7 linked regions of the Tribolium castaneum genome follow. The protein of the gene in region 6 binds, or shares a complex with, the protein of the main gene of each other region. Links are inferred from orthologs where the notes say so. Each region holds a gene or a part of one and is shown on either strand. Other genes may lie near its edges.

Region 1 (3,500 bases), on a different chromosome or scaffold from region 6:
TTTCAAAGACATGGATGCGCAAAACAGTCTATTGTTGGACCAGATTCAAGCTCTCAATACGCAACTATCTGTCCTTCAGGCACAAGCTACCGCAGAACCAAACCAATCGGCCGACTTATCGATGAGTAAATCGTTCACTGAGGACGAAGTCAAGTCTTCCGAACAGTTGCTCACTATAATTAAATATTTGCGACAAGAGAAAGACATTGCTGTAAGTAAATCCGAAATCATGGAAGCCGAATACGAGCGGTTGAAGTCACAACATGAGATGCTAACCAAACAGTTGGAGGAAGCCAAAGCTGCGGTCGAAACCGAGCGACAGAAGTCGGAAGTTTCGGTCGTGACGGCAGCCAAACATGCCGAAGTTTTACGCAAAGTTGAGACACTCAACGCTATCACTGATAGCAATCGAGCGCTGCGTCAGGAACGGGATACGATGAAGAACCAAATTAGTGAGTTGAAACAACGGGCTGAGACACTAGCAGCTGAGTTGGCCCCAACTTTGGAAAAGAATCGAGAGTTGAATATTAAAGCCGAAGCGATGCAAACTGAAAATATTTCGCTGAGGGCTGAGTGCACGAAGTGGAGACAGAGGGCGCAAATGTTGATCGAAAAATCGAACCGGACTAGTCCCGAAGATTGGAAGAAATTGTTAAATGAACGCGAGACTCTTGCCAAACAATTGACCATCGAGAGAGGTAACGTTGCGAAAATCACTGATGAGGTCAATACGTTGAAGCAGGATAAGGGTAAGCTTGAGGAACAGTTGAGGAATGTCAGGTCACAGAATAATAACCAAGCTGAAGAAATTGCCCGGTTGAAGGAAGATATGACTTCGTTGCAAAACCAAATGCAACAGTTGACACAGTCGTTGGAACAGACGCAAGACAGTAACAAACGGTTATTGGAGGAAAATCGCTTGTTGACTGAACACACGGCTGGGAAAGACGTCAATATCACCGAACTTAAAAACAATCTCACGCAAATCCGCAAAATTGCGAAGAAATACAAAATACAGTGTGAGGATCAGATTAACGAAATTAAAACCTTGCGAGAGGAGAAGGAATTAAAGGAGACTGAACAAAACTCGAATGAGAGGCAGTTGCAAGTGCAACGCAGCGAAATGGAAGAGAGAATATCACAAATCGAGCAAAGTAACAAGGACGTGATTGAGCGACTGAACCAACAAGTCGCAACCCTGACTGAAGAAAACGAAAACTACAAGAAGGAAATCGAAAGCCACAAACAGGGTTTCTTAGATCGCGAAGAACGGTTTAAAAATCTCTTCAAAAATGCCAAAGAACGGATCGTGACATTGACCGAACAGATGAATACTTTGAGGGGGCAGTTGGGTAACCAGGAGAGTTCGTCCTCCACCAATGAAAATCCCGAAGAAGGGACGAGTAGCAGCAATAATGATCTCTTGACGAAAATCGATAATTTGGAAAAGGAGAAGGCGAATATTTTGGCTGATCGCCGGCAAGAGAATGAGAAATATGCGTCTGAAATTGAAGCGTTAATGCAGAAAGTGTCGCAGTTGCAACGACAGTTGGGTCAGCAAGGTTCCAAGCCTAGTACGAGTTCAGGGTCGGAGAAGCCGGCGAATGATCCACCCACTGCGAATATTAAACCAATGGCGGGTAAGAAGTTCTAAAAATAATGCAGTAAAAAGGTAAAATAAATGTGTTTAGGTCACTCGACAAATACTCAAACTCAGTCAGTGCCCATACATCCATGGCGCAGTGGTGAGACACCTCTGGCTAGTATAAGGCCGATGTCGCAGCAAGTTAGGACGGTTACTGTTTTACCGACGAGTCAGAGTCCAAGTGCGGTTATGGTTCCTCCACAACAACAAGTGAGTTGTTTTTTTTGTTGGGGGTGTAATGTGATTACTTTTGTGGGTAGGTTCATACTACAGGATCAAGCACAATTGAAGCACTTTCGAGTAGTAGTCCGACTAGTTCGCACACTGATTATGTACCAGCGACTAGTTCAGCTAGTCCGGCAATGTTGGGGCCAAGACAGGTTGTTGTTCCTCCAACTCAGTCCTCGCAGGACACGGAAGATGAAGACGCCAATATGCAGGTATAGTTCTTCAAATTGTGGATTTTTCGAAGTAGCTTTTTAACTTTTTTTACTAAGATTGTTTTAATAATTGTGAATAAATAAAAAGATCGGGATTACACATTTGAATGATTGGTTATTTTTATTTTTTTTATGACTATTATGCAAAGTATTTAAAGACCATAGCTGAAAAAATATTTTTTTAAATTGTTTTAATCGATTTTACACCAAAGAAAGTGCTATTGAACTTTCTTTCGGAAGAGCATGCTAATGTTTGATTTGTTTCACTCGATTTAGCTCGTTTTTGAATGAAATTTTTCCAAATAGAAGCCCAAAAAATTATAGAGTTTGATAAAAGAACATGTGTTATTTTAATATTTTCCAAACAACTAAACATATATTTCCAATTTTTTGTGTGAAACAGATTGAAAAAATTAATAAATTTAGTGCAATAAAATAATTGTTTTTCTTATTCCGAATGTTTTGATACGTTTGTGAAAAAACAAATCGAATTGTCACCAAGTTGGACCGAAAATTGTGTGAATTCTTGGGTTTTCTGTATTTTTAAACATATTGTTGAGAAAATATTAAAGTATTTTTTAGAAACTTGATCTCAATACAACAGCCAATGAAAACCAAAGTCAAAAGTGGCGTTATTTTTGTCTTTCTTGAACATTTAAGCACGTTTTGGATCTAAAATTCCAATTTGTTTCTATGAGAAACCGTAAAATTATCAATTTAAATTCAGAATTATATTCTTTTTTTGACTTTTTGACCACATTTTTTAACTTAAATTTTATTTTTTCTTTAAGAATAGATCGAGACTTGATTTGTTATATACCTAAAAATAACAAAATGAATGGAGCTTAGTTTCTTTCAATTTAGCTCATTTTCGACCGAAATTTCGTCAAATTAAGCCGAAAAAGCACAACAAAATTATATAATCTATTTTTGAGTTCAAAAGTTTTTTATCTAAACGTTAGATTGATTTCAACATTTATTTATTGGACAAGAACTTTTTACCAACATCCAAATTTGGTAAAAAGTGACATTATTTGTTGCTTTTCTTGAGCATTTAAACACATTTTAGATTTAAAATCTCAATTTGTTTCTTCGAGAATCCGTAAAATCATCGATTTAAATCCAGAATTCTTTTTTTTTTGAAAATAGGTCAAAAAGTCACTAATTATTGAAGTTATTTTAGCCATTTTTTGGTTTTGTTGAGATAAAAACCAAGTTTTTCTTAAATAAATTGCATAAAATTGCATGAAAAATCACCGAATTAAATCGAAATTGATGTTATCTTTTTCTTGTCTACAGTAATTTAATAATTAATTATTACATACCTAAAAATGACAAAATAAATGGAACTTTTGGTTAGTTTCTCTTGAACTATCTCGTTTATGTGCGAAATTTGATCAAATTAAGCCGAAAAA
Region 2 (2,652 bases), on a different chromosome or scaffold from region 6:
GGTTCGGTTCCGAAAATTCCAGCCTTTGGGGCGTCCCAGAGCTTCGGGACGAGCGAAAGCAAGCCGTTTGCGTTCGAAAGTGCCCCCAAAAATGCGGGTTTTTCGTTCGGTCAGGCCGAGAAACCGAATACGACGCCCGTTTTCAATTTTGGGAGTGCAGCAGCAGGGGCGTCAAGTGCGCCAAATACAGGGTTTAGCTTCTCGGTGCCTAGTGCCGGGTTTAACTTTGGTGGTGCGCCCAAAGTGGAGAGTCAGCCGTTTAATGCCGGGGGGAGTGTTTTCGGGACGGCGGGACCAGCGGCCAAGAATGGGAGTTTCAATTTTGGGACAAATGCGAATAATAACAATCAGAAAGCGGTGTTTAGTTTTGGGGCTAATCAGACTAATCCGCCGCCGAGTCAGCCCAGTTTTCCCAGTCAGGGACAGAGTCAGCCGGGGTTTAATTTCGGAGCACCGACCGTAAGTTAATTGTTTTGTGATGGTGATTTTTTTTTAATTTATTGTTTGCAGCAACCACTTAATGTACCCGGGGGTTTCAACTTTACGGGCGCCCCACCTACATTTAACTTTACAGATGGAAATGCAGGAACGTAAGTAGTTGTATTTGTTTATTACGAGAGAAGTTACAAGTGAATGTTTCGGTTTAGGGCGCCGCCCCAGCGAAAAATCAAGAAAGCGTTCCGACGGACGACGCAGCGATAGTTTCCTAGAGTTTGTATATAGAGGAGTGATTGTATCGTGAAACAAGAAATTGGAGTTGTGTGAGTACGTGTTAAGTTTGCTTAAATTATGTAAAGAATAAATGTGTGGATCAATCACCTTGATATTAAAAACAATATTTGTTTTCAGACCTATAAATGTTAGCTAGGCATTAATAATAAATGGGCCACCTGTGAATATTCGAGTCCAGGCATTCGTCTTTCGAACATGTAATATAACGTTGAAAATCTTCAGAATTTATTTACCATATCTGAATGTCTGCAGTTACAAGTAATGTTCACAGATGCGTCGGTGTACAAATGACACTGTTGTACACGGCATGTTACTCCCTACATTGTATACCATAGCGTAGGCATTTCAAAGGTCTGATCCATAGAATGTAGAATTTTATAATGATGATGAAGAGGATTTTCATCAATATTGTGTGATGATGAATATGATGAAATATTTGTGAAATTTTTGAATGATTCGTACCATATAATATTTATATGACGGCCAATACTGGCTACTTTTACTGTGATATTCTTATGGGTCAGGCCCCATACATAAGTATAAACAATATGCATATAAATATAATATCTAAACTAATCAACACAGACAAAACGAATTATTGTTTTTATTGCAAAAGTCCATGGTAGAAGACTAGATTATTTTTTTACGTTGTAATTTGGTTTGTTGGAAGAATTTGGCAGCCAAGTTGTTTATCAAGGATTGCTGAGTATCGAACTAGTAATTATTGCAATGCAATAGTATTTATTTTTTATTGTTAATTTAGTTTTTGTCTGTGTTATCTTATCAAAAAGTAGGCTCACTCCTTAGTTCCTCAAATTGAAAAAGTTGTAAATATTTGTTTAAAAGTGTGGTTTTTAACAACACATCTATTTTGTATAATTATATTCGTAGGATATATTTAAATGAATAATTTTTGTTGTCTGAAATACTTGTGTTGTTTTACGTAATGAGCCGTTATTGGGCTCTTTTTATGTGAGAAGTATTAAAAGGAGTTAGACTGCTTCGTGTAAATATTGTAATTCTACATGAAATAAAACGTTTTGCTGAAAATTTCATTTTTACTTCAGCTATTGTTATTCCTAATTCATTTATCACGAGGTTGCGTTACTTTTTACGAACGGATGGAATTTTCAGCATATTTGTGCCTTTATTTTTTTAATGTATAATTTTATTAGTTATATTTGTCAAGAACTTGGCCTAGTTTTGTTTAAATTATTTTCGTTTGGGTAGTTTTACATATTTATGTTGAATGTGAAGTTTACAATGGAAAACAACTGACAGGAGCACCCTATTTTTTAATGTTCCAAATCATTCCTACTACGCTAGTATCTTTTTAAATTATGCAATAATTTATACTTAATAAAGCCAAGTTTTGTTAAATTTTGTTTTAGTTAATAAAATTACATTAGTTATAAAACCATCATGAGTATGTATTGACCTAGTTTCTTTTTAGATCCTGGTACTATCTGAAATTCCTGCAGTTGTTCTTAGTTACAAAATTTGTGTGGAGGACAATAACTTTACAACTAAAAGTCCATATAGATTAAAAAGTTTTAATGTTACTTGTATGGAACATTTCAATTTTATAAGATTATATATAACAGACATACACTCAAATACATGGAGACAACTATACAAAGTATTTCCTCAGCCAAATGAAACTGTGCTAAAACGTCTGAAGAGCCTTAATCCTGTGGAAATTAAGACTAAGGATTTGCGTCAAAAGTTGTACTTTTTTACAAGTTATAATTTTAAAAGTGAAAATAAAATATAATACAAAAGAGATGTAAACAAGATAATTGTATAAAATCGTCCTACAGTTGTCATATTCAATTATCTGGATGTACAAAATTAGTGTAACTTTATTTATATTGAATATAACAATTGTATTTTATAAATTTCTTACATTAAAGCAACATA
Region 3 (4,162 bases), about 1.4 Mb from region 6:
TGCGATGTCGTCAATTTCCACCGTTCCGCTTCGGCATTAAACTGCGAGACTTTATGATTATGAGCAACTTTTTCAGTAAATTGTGCATTTTCGGGCAGTTCAGGTGGTGGCATCGGCTTATTCCTATACTGTCTAAACCACTCGTTAAACGCCTCATGTGCATCCAAATACGCTTTATAACTCAAATAATTCTTAACAATCTGATGAATCTGCTCTTCGCTGCGTATCTTCTCTATAGAATCGTAAGGAATTTTATTGATTGCCAATTGGGCTGCTTCTAATTTGCCCAAAATCAGAAATTTGAAAATAATAGAATTGGTTTGAGCCAATGCTTCGGCTCGTTGCTCCTCGTAAAACATCAGCCAATCAATAGCGGAGATTTTGAGTTCGTCGATTTCGGTGATTTTACCTTGGAGATTACCGGGAAGTTCGGATTCAGACGGTCGGCTTGTTATAATTTCGACGATTTGTTGCGTTATAGCAAATACGTCCAAACTGAAATCTTCAGCGTAAGTAAGGGCGTTTTTGCGTTGCTCAGTCGAAAGCAGTTTTTCGCAGTGTTTGGCGTAAAGTTGGATTTGTTTGGATTTTCCCAGCTTGCTCACGTAGAAGGCCACAAGCTGGGTTTCGTTCATTTCGCTCAAACGCTCGATATATCTAATTAAACAAATGATATTAAAACACAAGCAACGCAGCGGTGAGTAGCAAACACTTTATGTTTTTTTATAGAAGCTCGAAGTCAAATAAAACAAAAAATAATACCGTAGCTATAAAAAAGTGGTAAAAATATTAAAAGCAATAATTTAGTTCTGACGAGATTATGGTCAACATTAAGAACATAAAATACACTAGACACAAATTTTTTTATAGTCACCATACCGGGAGACTAAAGCGCCCGGCCTTAAGTCGAGTTATACAACCAAGAAAACTTACGTTTCGACGATTTTTTCACACGTTTTTCTATGAGTGGAGTCTCCGACGCTTTCAAAAAACAAAACTAAGTGAGCATAAAATCGAAGAGATTGTGTCGTAACACTTAGATCTTCACTCCACTGATCTAGGAGGCGTATCAGTGTGGGAATTTCGTCTAAAATGACAAGTTTCTGAATTACATGATCAATTTCATGCGCTTCTTTTGCAATGTCAATATTTTTCGAGGCTTCCAAAATTGTAAAAATTTCACTTAATGATTTCTTTTGTTCCCAATATTCTTCAGGTAGTGGTATGTAGTTTTTAATGATTGAGTCGCGAATTTCCGATTCAACACGAATATCGACCATGGTTCGCATGTAGGCCCACAGGTGGTCCTCCCATGTGGTACAAACGGGCAAAATGCCCTCCAAGAAACCACAAAGACTACCAATGGCGGCTTTTTCATAAATGTTCAAGTTTGACTGAAATTTTTTAGTAGTTTTTTCAAATTTATAAAACAGCCTCCTTGATAGATACGAAACTTCGTCTTCAGTCCTAAATTTGGTTAATTATTTTCCAGAAATTTTAAATAAATAAACATAAAATAAATACATGTTTTACAACTGCCAAAGTGACATCGGTTTATCTAGTAACAATGGTATCAAAAAAAAAGATAGCGAAGTTCCCGAACTGTCAAAGAGGCTGTGGAACGAAAAACTTACCCTATGACAATAATCTAATGCGCAAGATTTCCACAAATCCCGCCTTTGGTTCCCTTCTACGTCTTTATACTCTTCAAGACTTGTTTCCAGGTTGGGATTATGAAAAAGCTTCCAGCCTTCTAACATCGCAGCGCGCCATGGATAACCACTGTTGTAACATAACTGAAATTTAATTATTGAATAAATAATAAAAGGCTGAAAACAGCACAAACTTCCTGGGCGCCCTCAAGGTTGCCGCACCTAATTTCCATAAAAATTCTCTGACATAGTTTTTTGTCATTGTCGTAATCCAAGTGGTGCAGCGATAAGCGCTGAAACTGTGGCGCATCTGGATGTATGTTCTTGATAATATCCACATTACTCCCAATTGCAATAGCATCAGGTGCTAGCAATTGATGCAAAGTGTGTTCCCATCCATACGTCCAGTCTGAGTGCATTAAAATGGGGTCCCCCTTCTCCAGAGCGTTCCTCTCGAGCCAATCGATCACCAACTGGCTTTCCCTAACCAAATTCTCTCGTTTGAACAGTTCGCACACACAGTTCTTTTCACTGCTCCCGAAATCCTCCTCAAACCCTTCCTTACTGTGGTTCTGGGCCTGGATCCGATCCTGGTACAGGACATACAGCAGTCTCCAATTATTCCGCTCATTTTCGAGCCATTTCTCTTCGGCTAATTCACTAGTGGCCACTTTGGCTTTCAGTGACTTAACCACCGCCAAAGCGTCACTACAACACCTCGCCAAGTCTTCGGCCACGTCCAGGATATCAAGGCCTCCGGTGGACCCCTGCAGGATATCCGCAAACTCTGTATATAAATTATTAACAGTGTTTTTCCATGGAGTTCCTGCTTGGATCACCGACCCGGTGACCGTTTTGTCATCATCGACAAATAAAGACAAGGTGTTTTGATAAACACTTCCATATTCCAGGCCGGTTAAGTCTTCGGGGTTTATTGTAAAGCTGAGGTTAGGTTTTTCACGCTTTGGAGTTGCGGTCGAGACCTTAAATAGCCCTTTTGTGGGGGTCTGGAGAGCGTCTTCGAGAAGACGCACCGACCGTTCCAAATCATTATCCATTTTTAATAAAAAACACACACAAAAAGCCGTTGCATAACCTCAAAAAACAAGTCTAGCGTTGCCTCAGAGCGTTGCAAAGTCCCTAGATTCAGGTTGGTAACAGTTTTTCTTTTCCTCGATCGTCATTTGTTTCAAATTATCGCGTCTGTTTGTGTTTATCGTGTTTTTTGTTCAAATTGAAGGAAAATTGGTGAAAAAAGTGTTGAATTACGTAACTTAATTAAGTTCAATTTATAAATTGTGGTAGGAAACACCGGTTTTTTTCAAAAATTTGTAAATCATGTGTGAATACTGAATTTGGAAAAATGATGTTACTTAGTGTTAAGTGTAATTTTTACATAATTTGGTGATTCCAGTGACAAAGTAAGGTAAGGTGCATGTTTTTTTAACAAAATTTAACATTATAGCACATTATTGGTACTATTTTCGGAAATTCAGTGAATTTGGTTGGCAACACTTTTTCCATTATCGCGTCTCTCGTGTGTGCCCGGATCTTTTTTGTCTACATTTATGAAAAATTTGTGAAAAAGTTACCTTAATTACGTTTTTTTTATAAATTGTGGAAAAAAAACACCAGTTTTTCCCCGGATATTCCTAAATTCAGTTACTGTGACAATCAGGATTTGGAAGAATGAAGTGTTAAGTGTTAGTTTAGAAGTTCAGTGTTAATTTGGAAGTTTCAAGCACAAAGTAAGGTAACTTGCATGTTTTTCAACAAAATATTAGATTATTGCACATTATTGTGGGCATTATTTTTGGAAATTGGTGAAAAAGCAAGTTTTCTTGAAAACTTGTAAAAAACATCACTTTCCAAATATTTGTCAATTCATTTGTGGTTAGGAAAAGTACATTTTAAGCACAAAGTGAGGTAAATTGTACGCTTTTCAACAAAAATTAGATTACTGCACATTAGTGGTATGTATTTGTATTTTCGGAAATTCATTGACTTAAGATTCTGGAAATATTGGGCGACTTTTCAGTACTTGGAGCGTTTTTTTTTGTCAATAACTTCGGTTGTAGGCATTTAAAGGAGGCAAAAATCCACAAAATTTTTTTTATTTATATTATATTTTCGTTGGTAGCTTAAACTCTTTGAACAAACACTACGCTTATTATTAATTAAATATTATTGTACTAAAATGTTGTAATAAATACTCGTTGTTAGCACTAGTCTAAGCTTACAAAAGAAAATAAATATTTCAACACGTACGCGTATCAAGTTGTACAATCTTATTCAATAATAACAATGTAATAAGGTATAAAAATAGTTAAGTAGTCTTTGCATAATTCAACAATCGAACACTTGTATCTTATCAGCTAGAGATCACAGATGTTGCCAAATAAAAGGCACTAAAAACACGAGTCCGTGTCCATTTCTCACATCCATCTCTAGGAAGAAAGAAAAATCATAATTTGGTTCTGTACACTTCCATTTGTACGTCTTGAGTGAAA
Region 4 (3,473 bases), on a different chromosome or scaffold from region 6:
TATCAGACTTCAACAAATTGATTTTTATTGTGCTCTGAATCATCTAAAGAAGGCTCGATTTTTCATAGTTTATAAACGGAACGAAATCAACTAGTCCAAACCAACTTAATGCAATACGAGTTGATTAAGTGCACTACTATTGAACATTAAATGGAAAAATATTTACATAAAATATTTACAGAATTTAGATATGGATGTGAGCCCTCTGTTCGCCTAAAAATATTTTCAAGTTTCTAGCTTTACTCAGAAGAAAAATATGAGGAAATGAAGATGTGAACACAAATTTGCTTTATATTAATTTTTGAATTTTTTTACATAAACGTCTTTTTTACAGTGAAGGCTATTCCAAATCAAAAAAAAAACTTTCGGATTTAAATTCAGCTAAAAAAATTACATCAGAATCATATTTCAGTAAACGTGTCAATTCTGTTAAATAGTTCTTTATTTTTGATTCTTTTTTAAGTTGTTAATAATTACGTTGCATTTCTCAAACTATCATAATCATTAATCACACAGACATTCAAGATATAGAATATTGCTTTTTTATATTGTTTTATTTTAAAATTATAAAATGTAGATATAGAAAAAATAACTTTTTATGGTACATAATAAGGCATACTAAAAGTATTTAAAGCAAATTTGGAATTCTGTGTAATTATTTAGCTTGTCATGCAGTAAAAATATACTTTTGCTGGGACACCCTGTAAAATTTGTTTTTAAATTTTATAGATGAACATAAAAACCTTTTATATGCTTTTGTACGGTCATCATTTAAAACATAACTTGTTTGTAATTTAAACGTCGTCTACCTACTTATACTTATAAGTTTTTTTTTGTAAAATATGGTTTTGTTTTTTAAGTAGCACTATACAAACAAATACTTTTAAGTTCGTAATGTGTAGCTTTAGTTTCTAATAAACAGTACTTAATTTTTTTGTTTCATAAGGAGCTAAAAGTAAACTACAATTAACGTTTAAATTGCTTATTATACTGATTTATGGGTCTGGCACGTGAAGCATTATTAAAGTTTAAAATAGCAAAGAAGTAAATAATTTCTTTCCATAAATTCCATTACTAGGCGCTTTAAATTCATTATTGTTGAAGTTATTACTTTCCTGTGTAATGGATTTTTAAATTATGATTTATCCTTGACTAGAATAATAAAACGTTTTCACGACTGTGTTTATAATTTCCTAAAAATTTTTTAATAAAATCAAGTTGGATAAGTTCCCGGTCAAGTTGCATCAAGCTGTTCCTCGGAGCGCCATCTCTGTGTGGGAAGAAAACATGCGGCTTGCGAACTGGTCTACGAACAGTTTTCGTTTTTATGGCATTTTACTTCCAGGATTTGCATTAATTTAATCCCTATTATTAGTACTATGGGACATATAACACGAATTAAGCTCAAATATCTTAAATTTTGTTAGGTCACAGAAATTATTATTGATTTTACTTGTATGAATCGCACCGCTCCCTATCGGCCATTTTATCACCATTGCAAAGACTTGTTTATTTTCAAGCTTATTCAAACATTTTTTCGTCAAACTCGTAAGACATAATGTTCTTTGCGTAACGGAAGCAACAAATATAACACTTGTGCCTAAATCACGTGAGTAACAGTTCAATTTCATTTATAAATGAAGCGGTTTCGGTTAACTGACGCCCCTAACCTTAGTTTTTCAGCAAAATGACTTTTATGTCCGTTGCTCATTACCTACAACTTGTGGAAAGGTATTGGCGGTCTCAGGACGGTGCAAAAGTGGCCAGTTTTCTGTCTCTTCGCCACGAACATGCAGGTTATGCCAATTACCACATTGAGAGTCCTGAGGGAATAGTTGAGCGTTTTTTGACCGCCCCTATCGACGAATTAGTGATTTTGCACCTAAAATGCCTGTTTGCCATAAGCCAGAGTGACTATCTATCGGCTTATAACATTCAGAGCAATTTGACGCAAACTTTCACTAAGATCTTGCAATCGCAAAAGGAGGAGAATTGGTCTTTGCCTATTATGTATGTCTTGTGCTTAGACTTGCGTCTTTTGGCGCAATTAGCCGAGAATCAGAGGAGCGGAATTAATGAGAAGCCCGGCGAAATGCTCGAGAAGGCAGCAGAATGCTTGATGGGTTGTTTCAGGGTGTGTGCTGCTGATAATAGGTCAGCAGAGGAGGATACAAAGAGGATAGGGATGTTGGCTTTGGTGAATCAATTGTTTAAGGTTTATTTTCGGATAAATAAGCTACATTTGTGCAAGCCCTTAATCAGAGCGATTGAGTCATCACCGTTTAAAGAGAGTTTTTCTCTGAGCCAACAAATCACATATCGGTATTTTGTGGGGCGCAAGGCTATGTTTGATAGCGATTATAAAGTCGCCGATGAGTATTTAACTTATGCTTTTGAAAATTGTCACAAGCTCAGTAAGAAGAACAAAACGCTTATATTGATTTACTTAGTTCCTGTGAAAATGTTGTTGGGGTATATCCCAAGCAAGGAGGTTCTGGAGAAGTATGACGTCATCCAGTTGTGGGATTTAGTACAAGCTGTATGTCAGGGTAATCTCAAAGCGTTTGACGAGATTATGGAAAAGCACGAAACCTTTTTCATCAAGTGTGGAATATATCTGATTGTTGATAAACTGAAAATCATAGCATATAGAAATTTGTTTAAAAAGGTGTATTTGATTCTAAATACGCATCAAATCCCTATTGAAGCACTGCAGACTGCTTTAGTGTATTTAGGACAGACTGATGTTGATTTGGATGAAACAGAATGTATTGTTGCTAATCTTATTTATGAAGGGAAAATTAAAGGATACATTTCGCATCAACATAGGAAGGTTGTTGTTAGTAAACAGAATCCATTTCCGCCACTTACAAGTCTATCATAATTAAGTTTTTATAAGTTTGTATAATTCGTCGTTCTCTACCTGCATTGTAACTATTTTGTAATTGCATATGAAATAAACTGTTAAAACTACCCGTTTTTTGTGTTTTATTAAAGCATAAACGTAACGTCTATAAATCTCTATACTGCGAAGTGACTAAGCGACCCTGCTGTCATAAGAAAAAAGCTAAATGTTGTATGCATAATAAAAACCGCATTAAAAATGTTTATGGAATTTTTATTTTATTAAAAATTGCTTTTGTTATTCGAAGAGGTCACAACTACAGTTGTTTTTTTTTAAATTGCTCAGATTTAATCTCGATACGAATCGTTTTGAAAATCAATAATGCATATTAAATCACCTAATGATTATGCCCATATAGGTAAAAAATATTCGTTTAAGCTTTACATAATAGATACGAAGTTAATACCGAATACATCCTTTAAATGTACTGTAAATATTATATTACATATTGCGAAATTTTGCACAAAAGGATTTATTTTCCCATAGGTAACTTTGTTACCCGAAAATTAAACTCATACATTTTATATGGAAATTTTATCATAGTCAAAAACTATTTAGTTTTTTATTA
Region 5 (4,300 bases), on a different chromosome or scaffold from region 6:
GTTAAAAGAGAAATTTTTTGCGGCCAGAGTGACTTACAGTGACCCTGACACAATCACTGATACGAAAATTGAGGAATTTGAGGACTTGGCGAGTGCACTTAAAGTGGCCAATTAAAAGTATTATTGTTTACGTAAAGTATTTATTTAATAAAAAATTGTTAAAAAAATCATCATTTTAATTGGGCTTCGTGTACCAAAGCTCGTGCTAAATTCCGGGTCGCTGACAGTCTCAAGATCGGAAGTTTGTCTTTCAAGTCTTTGGTTTTTTCCTGCTCTTCCAAACACTGCATAATGATGTAGGTATCAGTTGAGGAAAAAACCATTTTTTCGCACTCAAGTAGCGGTATTGCGTCAGTTAATAGAATACTCCAGAAACTACAAGATAATCTTTAGATAAAAAACCGCAATTTTAAGTGTTTTCCCCTTACAAGTTTGGTATTATTTTCGACTCAAGTAACGAAACGAGCAAATTGGCGGCTTCTTTGTACTCGTTCGCTTGATATAACTTCTGGAATTCGTAATATTTGCCTAAAAACATCAACCTATCGCTTGCCAAAATACACGATCCGAGATTATCCAAAAGATCAATACTGTTCAAATCGCCACTTTCGGCATACTCTCGCAGAAATTTGTTCGATAAAAACGACACAAAAGTGCCGTCTTGTGATTTGAGGGCCCAGGCGAGGGCGTGTCCCAGACGCCCCCGGTTTTTACAAGCCATTCCTTGCACTTTACAAATACTTTGTGCCGTTTCGGTTAAATTCCGGTTCAGAGCCTCTCTCACAATTTTCTCAGCCCGCATTTCGGAATTTAGAGGCAGTCTTGCAAGTAGTAATTTTGTGACTTCAGGGCCATCGCTGGGACAGTGGTCCAAGTAGCTTAAACCGACCTGCCATAGTGACTTATGGCCCATTAAAAGCGAGCCATAATCGATTAAAAATGACTCGCGCAATTTATCAGGGTGGCTGAAATAATAATTGTAAAATAAACGGTTTAAAAAAAATCGGGGACTCACAAATTTTCAATAGTTTCGATAGTTGTGTCGCTTAGACGGCCTGAATGGTAAAGTAGGTCGGTTAAGTGGCTCACAAACCAGCCACTGTCTGTCATATTTTGGATTTCTTTAATCACCTGGCAAAGAAATGTTAGAATTTATGTGTACATTTGCAAAAAAGTGTAAAACTAAAAGTATAGCCGAAAAATACAGGATTATTCAAAAGTCTCAGTTTTATTTAATAACTTAACAGAGGTGGCGCCATATTACCTGTAAAATATCAAACTCCATTGCTGCCAACAACATCCTATCCAAATGCTTAATTCTATTCCCTATGGACATTTTCGTGATACACTGTTTGGCAAACTGTCCCAACTCAAACGATTTAACAGTAGGTTGGGTAAAAAATAACCACGCGGCTAACATTTCATACCACGTCTCGCAATACTGCTGTATTTCCCCCCATGCAATTTCGTTACCAACCGTAAGCTACAAAAAATCTTATAAAGAAAACTACCAACTCAAACACACTTAAAACAAAACCTTCATAATCAAATTGAGATTATAACAAGAAATAAACATTTTCGCATCAATTTTCGATTGAACATCCACGACCCAATGATTCCATTGTAGATTAAATTCAGCGATTGAAGTCCCACTAAACATCTAAAGTCGGCCATGAACACCTGTCAATTTCTCCCAGCCTACTTACGTTATAAACCGGCATTGCTCTCAGACACTGATCCACAATTCTGAAAGGTTGTGACTCAGCTTCTGAGTGTAATTTAAGTAGGGCCCTAACGACCTTGACCCGCCCTTGTAATAGTGACCCAATGACAGTTTCCCAATAGTCAGGGTGTGACTCCAAACCACCCAAATCCCCAGCCAACATACTTGCCGCATTTCGGTCATATTTCGGAAAATGAAACCGAATCCAGTCCAGTAAGTGGGGCAAAACAATGTTGCCTAAAACCCCAACTGTTTGGCAAAAATCCCCAAATTTTGTGTCACTACAGAGGTCTATAACTTAGGAGGAAACGATGTACGAAATTACCGGATTTTCTGAACCTAAAAAAGTCCGGAATTTTTTTTAAATATAGTTAACGATAAAACTACCGAGTTCAGGACGTTTTATTTGTACGTCGTTTCGCATCCTAGCTTTTAGATATCCGTGTCACTAACCCACCTGGGACCGCATCAACAAATAAGATTTCACACAAGTGCCAAATACACTCAACTGAGTAAAAAATCGTAATGTAATTTTGCAATTCTTCGCGATAATCGCCATCGGCTCGCATCACCTCGTCTTGCAAATTCTCCAAACAGGCCCTTATTATGGACCTGTACTGCCGGCTAAGTTTCAATAATTCGGCCTTGTGGTCGCCCTCAGTGGCTACAAGGGCTTGAAGGGTTAGAAACGTCCCGTTGGCCTCATTTACCAATTTGCGTAAAATTGGTTTGAAGAGAATAATGTCGGGGCGCAGCTGAAACACAGAGGCGTCCGAGGGGGCAAAGTGACTCGGTTTATCAACTTTTGGTGTTTTCTGGTGGCCGAAAACACCGAATTCGTTGACGGAAAGCCACGAAGCCGCCACTCCAGCACGTCGGCATAACTCATTTGGAATAACCTACAAGTTATTATGACCTAACCTCAAAAATTGATCGCTGCTTACGAAAGTTTTGGCGGTATTGTCCATTAATACGGGTCGGGAAGCGTTAAATAACACGAAATTTTGCGCCTTTTCATTCAAAAAAACCGTATTTTTTTCGAATTTTGTTTGAGGAGAGCGGTTAGCCGGGTCGGTAATTTAGAAATCTGTTCGGTTACTAGGGTTACTTTCGTTTTGGGTTGGTAGCGAGAACGGTAACGGTAGGGATTTAACTTCGCCGTCAATCCTGTGGGCGGGTATTTTGAATTTGTTATATTGGGGTGATACTCACGTTGAGGCCTTCTCCTGGTGCGAGTGTGACGTTGAGCGCGATTCTGTCGGTTTCTTGCGTACGAAAAATCGCATAATGAAGTCTTTTTCTTTGAGCGTTTGAGTGTCAATGCTCCTAATTTCTGCCTCTCTGGCTTCCTGCATGCGGGCTTGATCTGCGAGGAGCTTGTCAATTAGATCCTTAATTTGGCCTCTGGAATGTTCAATTCTGGAGGTCCACTGTTTCATTAAACGGTAGTTTTCCCTTGCTTTGTTGCTCCGATCGTTTACTTTCACACTAGTCATGTCCCGGAGCATCGTATGGCGAACACTTTGACTTTCGAAATATCGCACAATGTAATTTGAAAGGGTGCTTAAGTAAAGCATCAAGTGGTTTATGTTCTCGTCAGTGCTTACTTTATTTTTTATCAAATAATTGACAATAAACCAGTCCACTAACTGCAAGTCGTATTTTGCCAAAACAAGTTAGAGAATTATCGGGACTTACCCGAAATTCAGTCACTGTGATTCCCTTAAGTGCGTGGCTAACTGCAATTTGTTTGATTAAATCGAGCGCTTGTTCGATGCGTCTCTGTTTGAGATAAGTTAAAACCATTTCATGAACGTGAAGTAACGAGACGAAATGAGTGATCATTCGTCTTTGGATAGTATATGTGTCTGTTTGCTGATTCGGGTTCCGGGCACTTGCAGCCCCAAACTTTTCTACCACTTTATCAGGCATTTTCAATGTCCTGCCAAAAAATAGAAAATAACCCGGCGCATCCACCATTTTTCAAATTCAAATAAGTGTTTAAATACGTTCTGGAGTAAGCTAGTGTTGTAAAAAAAACATATGATACGTAAAATGAGTCGCTGAATTCACTGGAATAAACCGTTTTGTTCTACGAATTTTAGTTTTTGAGTTATGAATTTTTTGAATAGGCAAAAAAATTAAATTAAATAAAACAGTACCCTGCGTGGATGTCGCTAACAATTTGCCCCAAATGCCTCTTCAGAAGCGACAGCACTAACTGTGAGGTTCTGATGGTCAAGGGGGCCAAATGATCAGCTGTGAAAGTCTGAGACTTGATGTACATACTCTGCAGTTCGCCGTAATGAATCAATTCACTGTCACACTTCGACACCGAAGGCTTTTCAGACAAATGAAACGAGGGGGAAGTACATATCGAAGGATAGGTGATTGATGGTGGAATAGTTTCGATACTCCCGGTATAAAAAATATGGGAATAAGTGCTTTGTTCGCTACCTCGTGGACGACTCAATTTTTTACCCATTTTAATTTGACGTAAAATAAAACAAAGTGTCACAAAAAACATTTATTAAGACTAGATTTTAACAAAAAAATACTACGATTTAAATATATCAA
Region 6 (4,138 bases):
TCGTTTATCGATTAAGAATTTGTAGCAAATTGAGTCATAACATAAGTGAATTTCCTCGAAAAGTGCGCGGATTTTCGTTGACCGATGACGAATCGGTCATTTTTATGCAGCCCCCAATTCATCGCGTCAACAAAATGGGTTCCGCGAGTTTATATTTTTCTGCACATATTGCACTTGTTCCTTTTCATTAAAATGTTGGTTTGAAGAGAAATAGAAGGTCGCGTGACGTTCTAGCGTCTGTATAAATAATCCGCAGTGCACACTTCAAAAGGTCAATTTCCAGGATTGGTCATGAAAATTACAAGTTTCCTCGTTGTTGCAGGTGAGATTTTTGTTTGTAGGTCATGGTTGGCTTGGAAAATGTGACACATGGGTTCGTTTGTTTTGACCCAAGCCCACTCGAAATTACGCAATATTTGACCGAAACTTTTCAGGGCTTGTTTTGGCGAGTGTGGCGGGCCAGCAGGGGAACTCCTCTGACAAAATCTCCAGGTTTATCTATGATAGGTGTCGGGTTTATAGCACAGACGCTTCGGCTTACGATGATATAAAGACCCATTTGGGGCAATTTGGCGATTATCTTTCGTACGCTGCGAGTTTATTGCCCAATGGTAAGGAGCAGTTCTGCAACGACGAAAGGCCCACACTGGCCCGTCTAGCCGCCCAGCTTGCCCATGATGTCAAACCGTGTTTGCCCAAAGACGAGAAGTATTTGCCCAAGTTCATGGTTGAAAGCTTCACCTCATTTCTCGACTTTGTGTGTTCCCAAAGAACCATCGAAAGTAAGATTTAAAATTTTGAAAACTATTTTTTATCAAGGAAAATACAGATTTCTTCAGTACCCAAGGGGCAGATTGCCGCCAAAACTTGAAACTCAACCAAGAGGGGCAACAAGTTGGAAACTGCTTTACTAAACTATTCGCTCGGTTTAGCGACGTGGTCCGGAAAGACGACCTGTGCCTGTAGGTGCCCCCATGATTACAAACCCAACTTTTTCATCTTTCTTCTGATTCTAGTGACTTAAAAGCGTCCAAGAAGTGCTTCAGTGAGGCGATAGCCCGTAGTTGTCCCGATTTCGCCGCTTTTGAGTCGTTAAACAACCGATTTTTCCAAGCAATTCGCAAACCCTGTAACTCAGCTATTTCCATTGGCTTCAGCAGCGTTCTACTCCTCCTAGCATCATTCACTTCAACCAAGCTATTCTCATAGTTATTATATTATCCCTCCACGTATTATAAATGTTATTTTTGTTATAAATGTACGATAAATAAATAAATAAGTAGAATTTTGTCTTATTTTCTGACCCCGCGCCCTCTGGTGGCGAGTTAACCTGAGTTTGAAAATTATCTAACCGCCACTCGCCGACCTTGATTTTTTGTTTCCGTAAACCTAACCTAACTTTTGCACAAAAAACCGTTAAAACGGGCTAAAACCATGCAAGAAATCGCGTTGGGGTACCGGGAGGTGATCCCCGACCAGACGGTGTCCGATCCCTGGCGCGAAATCACCCTCAACACGGGTAATATCACAAAAATCGCCGATTACGTAAAACTGAGGTTATGTAACAGGGGGGACACAAGGGACGCTTCAAGATATCAAAGTCGCGGAAAGGGCCAACGGGTTTTGTTACCGCGACTCGACCAGACACCACACCAGGAATCGGTTTATCTACTGGAGGATTAGCCACGATGTCCTGGAGCTCGTGGAGCACAGTCTCGATATAAATCTCGCCGGAAATCGCATCAGATACAAATTTGTGGACACCCCGATTTTGGACGGGGTTTCCATCCATGAGACGTACGATAATGTGGTGGTTCTGGTGCCCACGGTGTGCAGCGTCCATAGGTTGGTGTTTCCGCATCCGGATAAGTACCACCGGCAGGACCATGTCGCGGGGGTTCACCCAGATCTGGCGGCGCCGTCGGTGTTCAGCGAAGCTACGGCCAACGAGGCGAGGGATCCCGCCACATTCCACTTTTTCACCAATTCGAGTAGGTCTTGTAATTTTTTAAGTCACGAGCCGGAGACGAGTGTCGTAACGAGCAAATCATAATTTTTTTTAAATAGGTTTGCCAAATGGCAAAATTAGATACGTTTGCATGATTATTTAAAATATTGGACTTCTCATGACTAGATGAACCCTTATTTAAAGGTTCTCAGCTGCCATATCTGGCCGCCTCTTCCCTGACCCTCGCTGAGGAGGAAGCAATTTTCGTGTTGGCCTACCACTCCGGCGAGATCCTCCTTCTGAGACAGTCCCCCGAGGGCAAAATCGACTCAGCTGAGCTAAAAAGCGAGTCAATCGTGCCCCGCTTTCTCTCAGGTCTCGCCGACAAGCTGCGGTACAACCCTTCATTTTTTCCGGCCCGGAAAACTGACGGTTTTTTTGCAGCCAAAAAGACAAAGAAGGCGACACTACCGTCAGCCTCATTTTACATACTTTCGGTCTTGAAACTTTCGCTTTGACACTTTGCCGCAACGGTCATTTGAAATTCTGGTCGTGCTCAAAGGCCGAATGTGTCTCAGTGATCGACGTCATGGCCGAAACCGGCGCCAGAAACCAGCTGCAAGGCGCTCAGAACCACATCCTGCGGAAAGCCGTCGATGGGTTTGATTCTGAGTGTCTGTTGGGTATTTTCATGAGTTTCGCAGCCAAGAGTCAGTTGCATGTGTTCAAGCCGATGCTCAGTGGCTCGCAGGTTCGGCTAGTGAGGCTTAATATACTTGATTTGGCTCAGGTGAGTCGTAGGTGGGATAAGTGATAGGGGGTAAGTTTGGGGTTTTAGACCGATTTGATCGATTTTACGATCTCGACAAGTCGGATTTGGTCGGTTTGGCGCGGAAAAGAGGGCCAATGTGAGGTGTATTCGGCCTCGAACCAGGCGGGGAGTCACTGGATTCCCGTGGTTCTGGAAAATGTGCCAGACGCCAGCCAACCGTTGAGCATCGACGGGGAGACGGATCCCAGGCAGAGCTACCTCCAGCACATCTTCCACCCGGGCAGGTTCCCCTTGCATATAATCAGCAAGGCTTTGAACGTAAGTTTTCAAGTCAAGCTGATTTTTTTACTGTATTTTTCGAAAATGTGCCATTTGTTTTTCTCTAAACCTCTTAGTTTCTTATTTGGTTGAGGCACAATTAATGTGACTCCTGGCGACCCGACAAAATAACAAATTGTTGCTTTTCAAACCTTTTATTTAAAAAATATACATAAAAATTATTGCGCGTTTTTTGTCACACCAACTGCTTATTATAGATTTACAAACGCTCGGCCGTCATCAGCGACTTGAACCTCTCGGCGGCCCATCTCAAGCAGCAGATCTGCATGGCCGTCGAAGACGAGGTCCAAAACGAGCTGAAGGAAACCGTCGTCAGCGACGAAGATTATCTCGAAACCGCCAGCTACTGCTGGCAACAATTCTACTCCTGTTGCGTCCAATACCACGTCGCTGGACTTAAACCTTTAGGCCTCCTTGTTCTTCCAAACTCCTCCGGGGCCGTACTTTTGAAAAAATCCATGATTTCGTTTTTGCGACCTCTCGATATTTTTGAACATTTCATCTACGAAAGCGACCACATGTTTAGGGACCAATTCACCAAATATTTCCTCTTGTCTGAGAGTAATTAAACCGCACAGTTAATTAATCAATTGTGATTGGTTCATTTTTTGCAGATGTTGATATCACAGACGACGTGATCAGTTTGTTCAAGGTCATTAATTATTTGGATTCGCAGATGAGTGAGATTTTCGCGTACACGTTCGAACGAGAGTTGGCACTGCTGAAGTCGCCTGATGTCGTCATGGGGGCTCTCCTTGAGCAGATCCAGCGCGAGATGGACACCGAGGTTCGTACTTTTTTTATGTTAAAAAAATATTCTGGGGCTTTTGAGCCCTAAAAAACGTTTTACAATTTATTATCTGGTACTTTTACCGTGGCGCCTGGCGAACCATTCTTATATTTATATCACAGAAAATTTTAATGACAGCTGCTTCTGTTGATATCTGCTCAAATCATTTACGGAAAACTCTTGAAGAATTTTAAAATTATTTAAAGCACTGCAATTTATTGTAGTTTTTGAGCTTTCGCGTATTTTTTCGATCTCGCGTAAATAGTTAAGCAAAAACCGCCCGATTTGT
Region 7 (4,108 bases), on a different chromosome or scaffold from region 6:
AAACCCGCCCCCAAACAAACTCCCTTGTGTCTGTTGACCGAACCCTCCACTAGTCCCAAAACCCCCAAACCCCCCTGTTGTTTGCGTAGCCCCAAACCCCCCAAACAACGACGGCGCACTCGTCGTAGTAGTACCCCCGAATAAACCAAACCCTCCCCCTGTTGTACTCCCCCCAAACAGCCCCCCCGAAGTGGTGGCCGTGCCCCCGAACGAAGTCCCGAATAAACTCGGGGCCGAAGTTGTCGCAGTACCGAACAAACTCGGAGCTGGGGTACTGCCAGCTCCGAATAAACTAGGAGTCGAGGTGGTGACCCCCCCGAAAAGACTTGGGGCTTGTGTGGTGGTACCGCTCCCGAATAAACTGGGGGCCGAACTAGGGGTCGAAAATAACGAGGTTGAAGTGGTGGGAGTTCCGAAAAGGGTTGGTTTGGTTGTGGAAGTACCGAAAAGGCCGCCGCCGGTCGATTGACCGAAGCCGGTACCGAATGTCGGGGCTGAGGTTGATGCTGGGGCTCCGAAAGTCGAACCAAATGCTGGAGTGGAAGTTGCAGGAGTACCGAAAGTACTACCGAAACCTGAAGATTGAGCTGGGGCTCCGAAAGTTGAGCCGAAACCGGTCGACGGCTGCGAAGTGGCTCCGAAGGAAGAGCCGAAACTGCCGAAGCCGGTACTAGCCGTGGTGGTGGTTACCCCAAATGGGGTACCGAATGCGGTGGCTGTGGATAAACATTGGAAAAACATAAAACTATGACTAGGTGTTTACAAAAATTAATAAATAATCTAAGACGATAAGAAGTGTGCGTTTTAATTCAGGAAAAATCGAATAAATTGAATAAATTCAGCGAAATTTGTAGTTTTCCAAAGGAAATGGCTACGAAACCACAATCCTGAAATTATTTATTTTTCTATTTGGGTTGTTTCAACGAAAAGAAAAGAATTTCCATGAAAAAAGTATTTGTTACGGGGAAATGACCAAACGGAAACTACTCCTCGGTAAAAAATGCAAGTCAAACTTGAACTATGCGAATACTTATCGTGCAAAAAATACGCTGTTGTTAAGACTTAAATTTATGCAAAAACGAAATAAACACGAAATAAATGAAATTATTTCAATCCTTCAAGTGTCATTCCAGTCAAATTTTTTAAAAAGAATTTAAACACGTAGATAATTTCAAAACAAGTTTTTTTCGACTGCAGTGCCGCTTTCCCAATTTGTTATCACAAAATGACGGATTTTATTTATCCCAACCACAAGAAATTGCATTAAACAGCATTTTGTGACTCATCCCCGGGTTGTTATTTTACTGCGAATGGAAGGAAAGCAGGAAAACCGTGTTCGCACATATAAACACCAGCGATAAAAATTCAAAGCGTGGAAAGAAACTTTCAGTCGCCGATAAGTTCTTGCAGAGTTAAGTGTTTTTCCTTCGCTAATAAAAAGCACAATGTCGGGCCCTACGGTGAGTTTAATTTTTATTTTTCAAGTTGGATTTAAAAATTCCGATTCTAGCTATTCTCATTTCCTATCAAAGGGGCTACTAAAAGTTTTGGAACGACCCTTCAAGTCACAGACGATCAAAACGTACTCAAAATTGGGCAGAGTTTCACTCCCCCAGCTACTACCCTCATCAGCGAAATAACCAACAGTACGGTTACTGCAGAAACTGCTACCACTCCTGAGATTTCTCAAAATATTACAACAACGATTACCACCGTGATAACCGAAGTGACCGACAGTACGACCGAAACAATCGGTATTTTTGAAAACAACATCACTTCAGCAGTGGCCGAAATAAAAAACAGTACACAAAATACAACTTCAACCCCACTTGACGTATTTTCTTCAACTACGGATGTTTCGAACCAAATATATTACGAAGGATACGACGTTGAGGGAAAAACTTTGTACGTTGTTTTGGGAGTTATAATCGTCAGTCTGCTCTTAATTATCGTCATTCTTATCGTCGTTTATAAGCGATATAAAGCCAGCCGTTCAGGATCGCTTGATTGTGCAACCGATTTGAGCCAAGTTACCATCTCAAACGGAAGAATGAAATCGTATTAATTATATTTGTGATAATCTGTTATATTTTACTATCATTATATTTTTGTTACTCGCTTAGGTAGGTTTATTTATATCCTCAAAATGTTATTGCCGAAATAAATTCTTGGTTTATAAATTATAATCTAGGTTTTTTATTGAACACGTCCAGTTTTTCATGTTTTATCAGTTAAGTAATGAAATTACTTTTGTGTACTGTGCAGCACAGACGTGACAAAAAATTTAAGTTAAACACTAAACAAAACATTTTTTAGCGATTTGTTTCAAACAAAAATTGTTGAATTGTTACTCACACGTTAACAATCATCACAATTAAATTTTATAACCATTTAAAACACCAATTAACATTTTATCTGTAAAAAGTGTGGTGATTTGTATTGTTGAGTCTGAATGGTACAAAACGCTGCCACTTTTTCGATTTTTTCTGGTTAAAAATTAAGAACACAAACATTAGTCAGGCGTTTTGGGCAAAATTAAATCTCATTAATTACGGTTTAAAGGGAAAATAAATAAAACCGTGAATACCAAATAACAAAATAGAAAGAACTTAACCTAACTTTCTTACGGTTCTAAAACTTACGTTTATTTGCCGGGCTTCCAAAAGTCGACTGGTTTGCATTTCCGAACGAAAATGCCATAACTGCATTAAATTTAACGTTAGTATTTATATAAAAATAGTAATTACAATTTTTTATGTATTCACAAATTGAACTTAACGAATTGACAGAACTGTCAAACTTCAAACCTAGGTTATACACCGGCAATTTCACAAAATTTCAGCGTTTTCTGTACAAAAAAATACGAAATCAAAAAGTCGCTCATGTGTTTATGTTAATTATCTGGAAATCTATCCATTTCAGGGTTTTACGTTTTTTTAAGCTCATTCCTTTGTATTTCAATTCGGGCTGGCGAACTTTCGGCTTTCATCCCCTTGTCAAGTGTCATTCATTCCTGACATTTGGCATTTGCAATTGTTGGGTTGTGTTTTTTGCACTTTGATATTGCAATGTTTTTGTGTTAAAATTTAGTAGCGTAAGAGTTAGCCTTGATTAGTTTAGCCGAAAAAGTGCGCATTGTTTTATGGGGTTTAAACCGCGGTAGATCCTGTGTCGGTGAATTTAATCCAATTTTTCAATGGCTGAAAGCAACGGCGAAATGGACGACGATATCATCATTAACGACCAAGACGGCCTTCCCAACGTGCACCCCAACCTGCTGGCGGAGGCCGACATCGACAGCCCCGAGCATGTGACCGACGACGAGTTCGAGGACCTGCCGACGTCCCTCATCGTCACCAACATCCACGACAGTGTCTTCACCTCGCCCGGTAATCCGCCCCCAGCCCTCACCCGATCTGACCGTAAAATTGCAGAGAAAAAGCGCGAAATGGAGAACCTGTTCCGGAACTTCGACCCGGACGTGACATTCCAGTGGCTGCGCAGTTTCCGAAGACTGAGAGTGAACTTCCAGACGCCCGTGGCAGCCGCCAGCGCCCGCATTCAGCTCCACCAATACAAAATCAACGACTCAGTGATTACGTGTTACTTTGCTCAACCCGTCACCCCCGTCAAAAACCCCAGCCTGCAGCCGCCAGCCCCCTTCAAGCAGTTCCTAATCTCGCCGCCGGCGTCGCCCCCCCTCGACTGGGAGCCCCGGCCGGAAGGTGAGCCCATTATCAATCATGACCTTCTTGCAGCTTTGGCCACCCTCACGCCGGGGGCGTCGCACGAGGTGCACCCCCCCTCCCCCGGCCAGCCCAGCATCGTGGTGCACACGGCCCTGGGGGCGGACGGCGTGGGGGCCAAAGGCAGGATGCCACAGACGTCGTGTCCGGAACGGAGTTAATGATTTGTACAGGTCTTCAAGGTTATTTTAAGTGTGAGCTTCAGAGCCTCTCAATATGTCAATTTCTCTCTATGTAGAATCTGTCACTCATTTATTATGGAATTACGTGATTCATTTGTTGGTTGTAACTGTATCATTAATTTAACTCAATGTGATAATAAAGGTGTTGCTAATAAAAGATAATTTCCTAAAGTACTCAGC

What was found.
Region 1: Nup160 (region 6) and Mgtor share a complex: the UniProt entries of both Drosophila melanogaster proteins name them as parts of the nuclear pore complex. The link is inferred for Tribolium castaneum from reciprocal best matches to the Drosophila melanogaster genes Nup160 and Mgtor.
Region 2: Nup160 (region 6) and Nup153 share a complex: the UniProt entries of both Drosophila melanogaster proteins name them as parts of the nuclear pore complex. The link is inferred for Tribolium castaneum from reciprocal best matches to the Drosophila melanogaster genes Nup160 and Nup153.
Region 3: Nup160 (region 6) and Nup107 share a complex: the UniProt entries of both Drosophila melanogaster proteins name them as parts of the nuclear pore complex. The link is inferred for Tribolium castaneum from reciprocal best matches to the Drosophila melanogaster genes Nup160 and Nup107.
Region 4: Nup160 (region 6) and PCID2 share a complex: the UniProt entries of both Drosophila melanogaster proteins name them as parts of the nuclear pore complex. The link is inferred for Tribolium castaneum from reciprocal best matches to the Drosophila melanogaster genes Nup160 and PCID2.
Region 5: Nup160 (region 6) and Nup75 share a complex: the UniProt entries of both Drosophila melanogaster proteins name them as parts of the nuclear pore complex. The link is inferred for Tribolium castaneum from reciprocal best matches to the Drosophila melanogaster genes Nup160 and Nup75.
Region 7: Nup160 (region 6) and Nup54 share a complex: the UniProt entries of both Drosophila melanogaster proteins name them as parts of the nuclear pore complex. The link is inferred for Tribolium castaneum from reciprocal best matches to the Drosophila melanogaster genes Nup160 and Nup54.

Annotation. Positions count from the first base shown.
Region 1 is NC_087394.1:8,229,026-8,232,525, forward strand, and holds part of Mgtor (nucleoprotein TPR), read left to right. Parts: coding exon 1-1,640; intron 1,641-1,691; coding exon 1,692-1,855; intron 1,856-1,905; coding exon 1,906-2,085; intron 2,086-3,500. UniProt on the Drosophila melanogaster protein: Component of the nuclear pore complex (NPC), a complex required for the trafficking across the nuclear envelope. Functions as a scaffolding element in the nuclear phase of the NPC.
Region 2 is NC_087394.1:31,192,339-31,194,990, reverse strand, and holds the end of Nup153 (nuclear pore complex protein Nup153), read left to right. Parts: coding exon 1-459; intron 460-510; coding exon 511-590; intron 591-647; coding exon 648-702; 3' UTR 703-2,152; downstream 2,153-2,652. UniProt on the Drosophila melanogaster protein: Component of the nuclear pore complex (NPC), a complex required for the trafficking across the nuclear envelope. Functions as a scaffolding element in the nuclear phase of the NPC.
Region 3 is NC_087395.1:26,509,940-26,514,101, reverse strand, and holds the start of Nup107 (nuclear pore complex protein Nup107), read right to left. Parts: upstream 2,801-4,162; 5' UTR 2,711-2,800; coding exon 1,847-2,710; intron 1,797-1,846; coding exon 1,635-1,796; intron 1,395-1,634; coding exon 934-1,394; intron 658-933; coding exon 1-657. Other genes in the region: sodium-coupled monocarboxylate transporter 1, read right to left, coding at 4,117-4,162. UniProt on the Drosophila melanogaster protein: Plays a role in nuclear pore complex (NPC) assembly and maintenance. Required for nuclear import of Mad. Mediates the association between the nuclear pore complex and a subset of active chromatin regions adjacent to lamin-associated domains.
Region 4 is NC_087397.1:8,459,988-8,463,460, reverse strand, and holds PCID2 (PCI domain-containing protein 2), read left to right. Parts: upstream 1-1,454; 5' UTR 1,455-1,609; intron 1,610-1,675; 5' UTR 1,676-1,687; coding exon 1,688-2,884; 3' UTR 2,885-2,973; downstream 2,974-3,473. UniProt on the Drosophila melanogaster protein: Required for the export of nuclear mRNAs and involved in mRNA trafficking in the cytoplasm.
Region 5 is NC_087399.1:876,580-880,879, reverse strand, and holds Nup75 (nuclear pore complex protein Nup85), read right to left. Parts: upstream 2,801-4,300; 5' UTR 2,692-2,800; coding exon 2,668-2,691; exon of another isoform or gene 2,623-2,667; coding exon 2,181-2,622; exon of another isoform or gene 1,961-2,180; coding exon 1,707-1,960; exon of another isoform or gene 1,661-1,706; coding exon 1,538-1,660; exon of another isoform or gene 1,484-1,537; coding exon 1,265-1,483; exon of another isoform or gene 1,132-1,264; coding exon 1,016-1,131; exon of another isoform or gene 966-1,015; coding exon 429-965; exon of another isoform or gene 376-428; coding exon 171-375; 3' UTR 121-170; downstream 1-120. Other genes in the region: oxidized purine nucleoside triphosphate hydrolase, read left to right, coding at 1-115; uncharacterized protein LOC660898, read right to left, coding at 2,803-2,890, 2,936-3,372, 3,422-3,665, 3,886-4,250; mRpS23 (small ribosomal subunit protein mS23), read right to left, coding at 4,281-4,300. UniProt on the Drosophila melanogaster protein: Component of the nuclear pore complex (NPC) that seems to be required for NPC assembly and maintenance. Required for nuclear import of phosphorylated Mad via importin msk.
Region 6 is NC_087395.1:25,114,010-25,118,147, reverse strand, and holds the start of Nup160 (nuclear pore complex protein Nup160 homolog), read left to right. Parts: upstream 1-1,338; 5' UTR 1,339-1,434; coding exon 1,435-1,519; intron 1,520-1,568; coding exon 1,569-1,991; intron 1,992-2,152; coding exon 2,153-2,342; intron 2,343-2,392; coding exon 2,393-2,738; intron 2,739-2,786; coding exon 2,787-3,038; intron 3,039-3,256; coding exon 3,257-3,620; intron 3,621-3,673; coding exon 3,674-3,846; intron 3,847-4,138. Other genes in the region: uncharacterized protein LOC655733, read left to right, coding at 292-322, 435-782, 830-962, 1,017-1,209. UniProt on the Drosophila melanogaster protein: Functions as a component of the nuclear pore complex (NPC). Involved in poly(A)+ RNA transport. Required for nuclear import of Mad. May play a role in double strand break DNA repair. Essential for nephrocyte development.
Region 7 is NC_087397.1:2,066,925-2,071,032, forward strand, and holds the start of Nup54 (probable nucleoporin Nup54), read right to left. Parts: upstream 2,801-4,108; 5' UTR 2,701-2,800; coding exon 2,643-2,700; intron 2,187-2,642; exon of another isoform or gene 1,511-2,186; intron 1,461-1,510; exon of another isoform or gene 717-1,460; coding exon 1-716. Other genes in the region: sra (protein sarah), read left to right, coding at 3,197-3,389, 3,435-3,907. UniProt on the Drosophila melanogaster protein: Component of the nuclear pore complex (NPC), a complex required for the trafficking across the nuclear envelope. Essential for the nuclear import of nuclear localization signal (NLS)-containing proteins in an importin alpha/importin beta-dependent manner.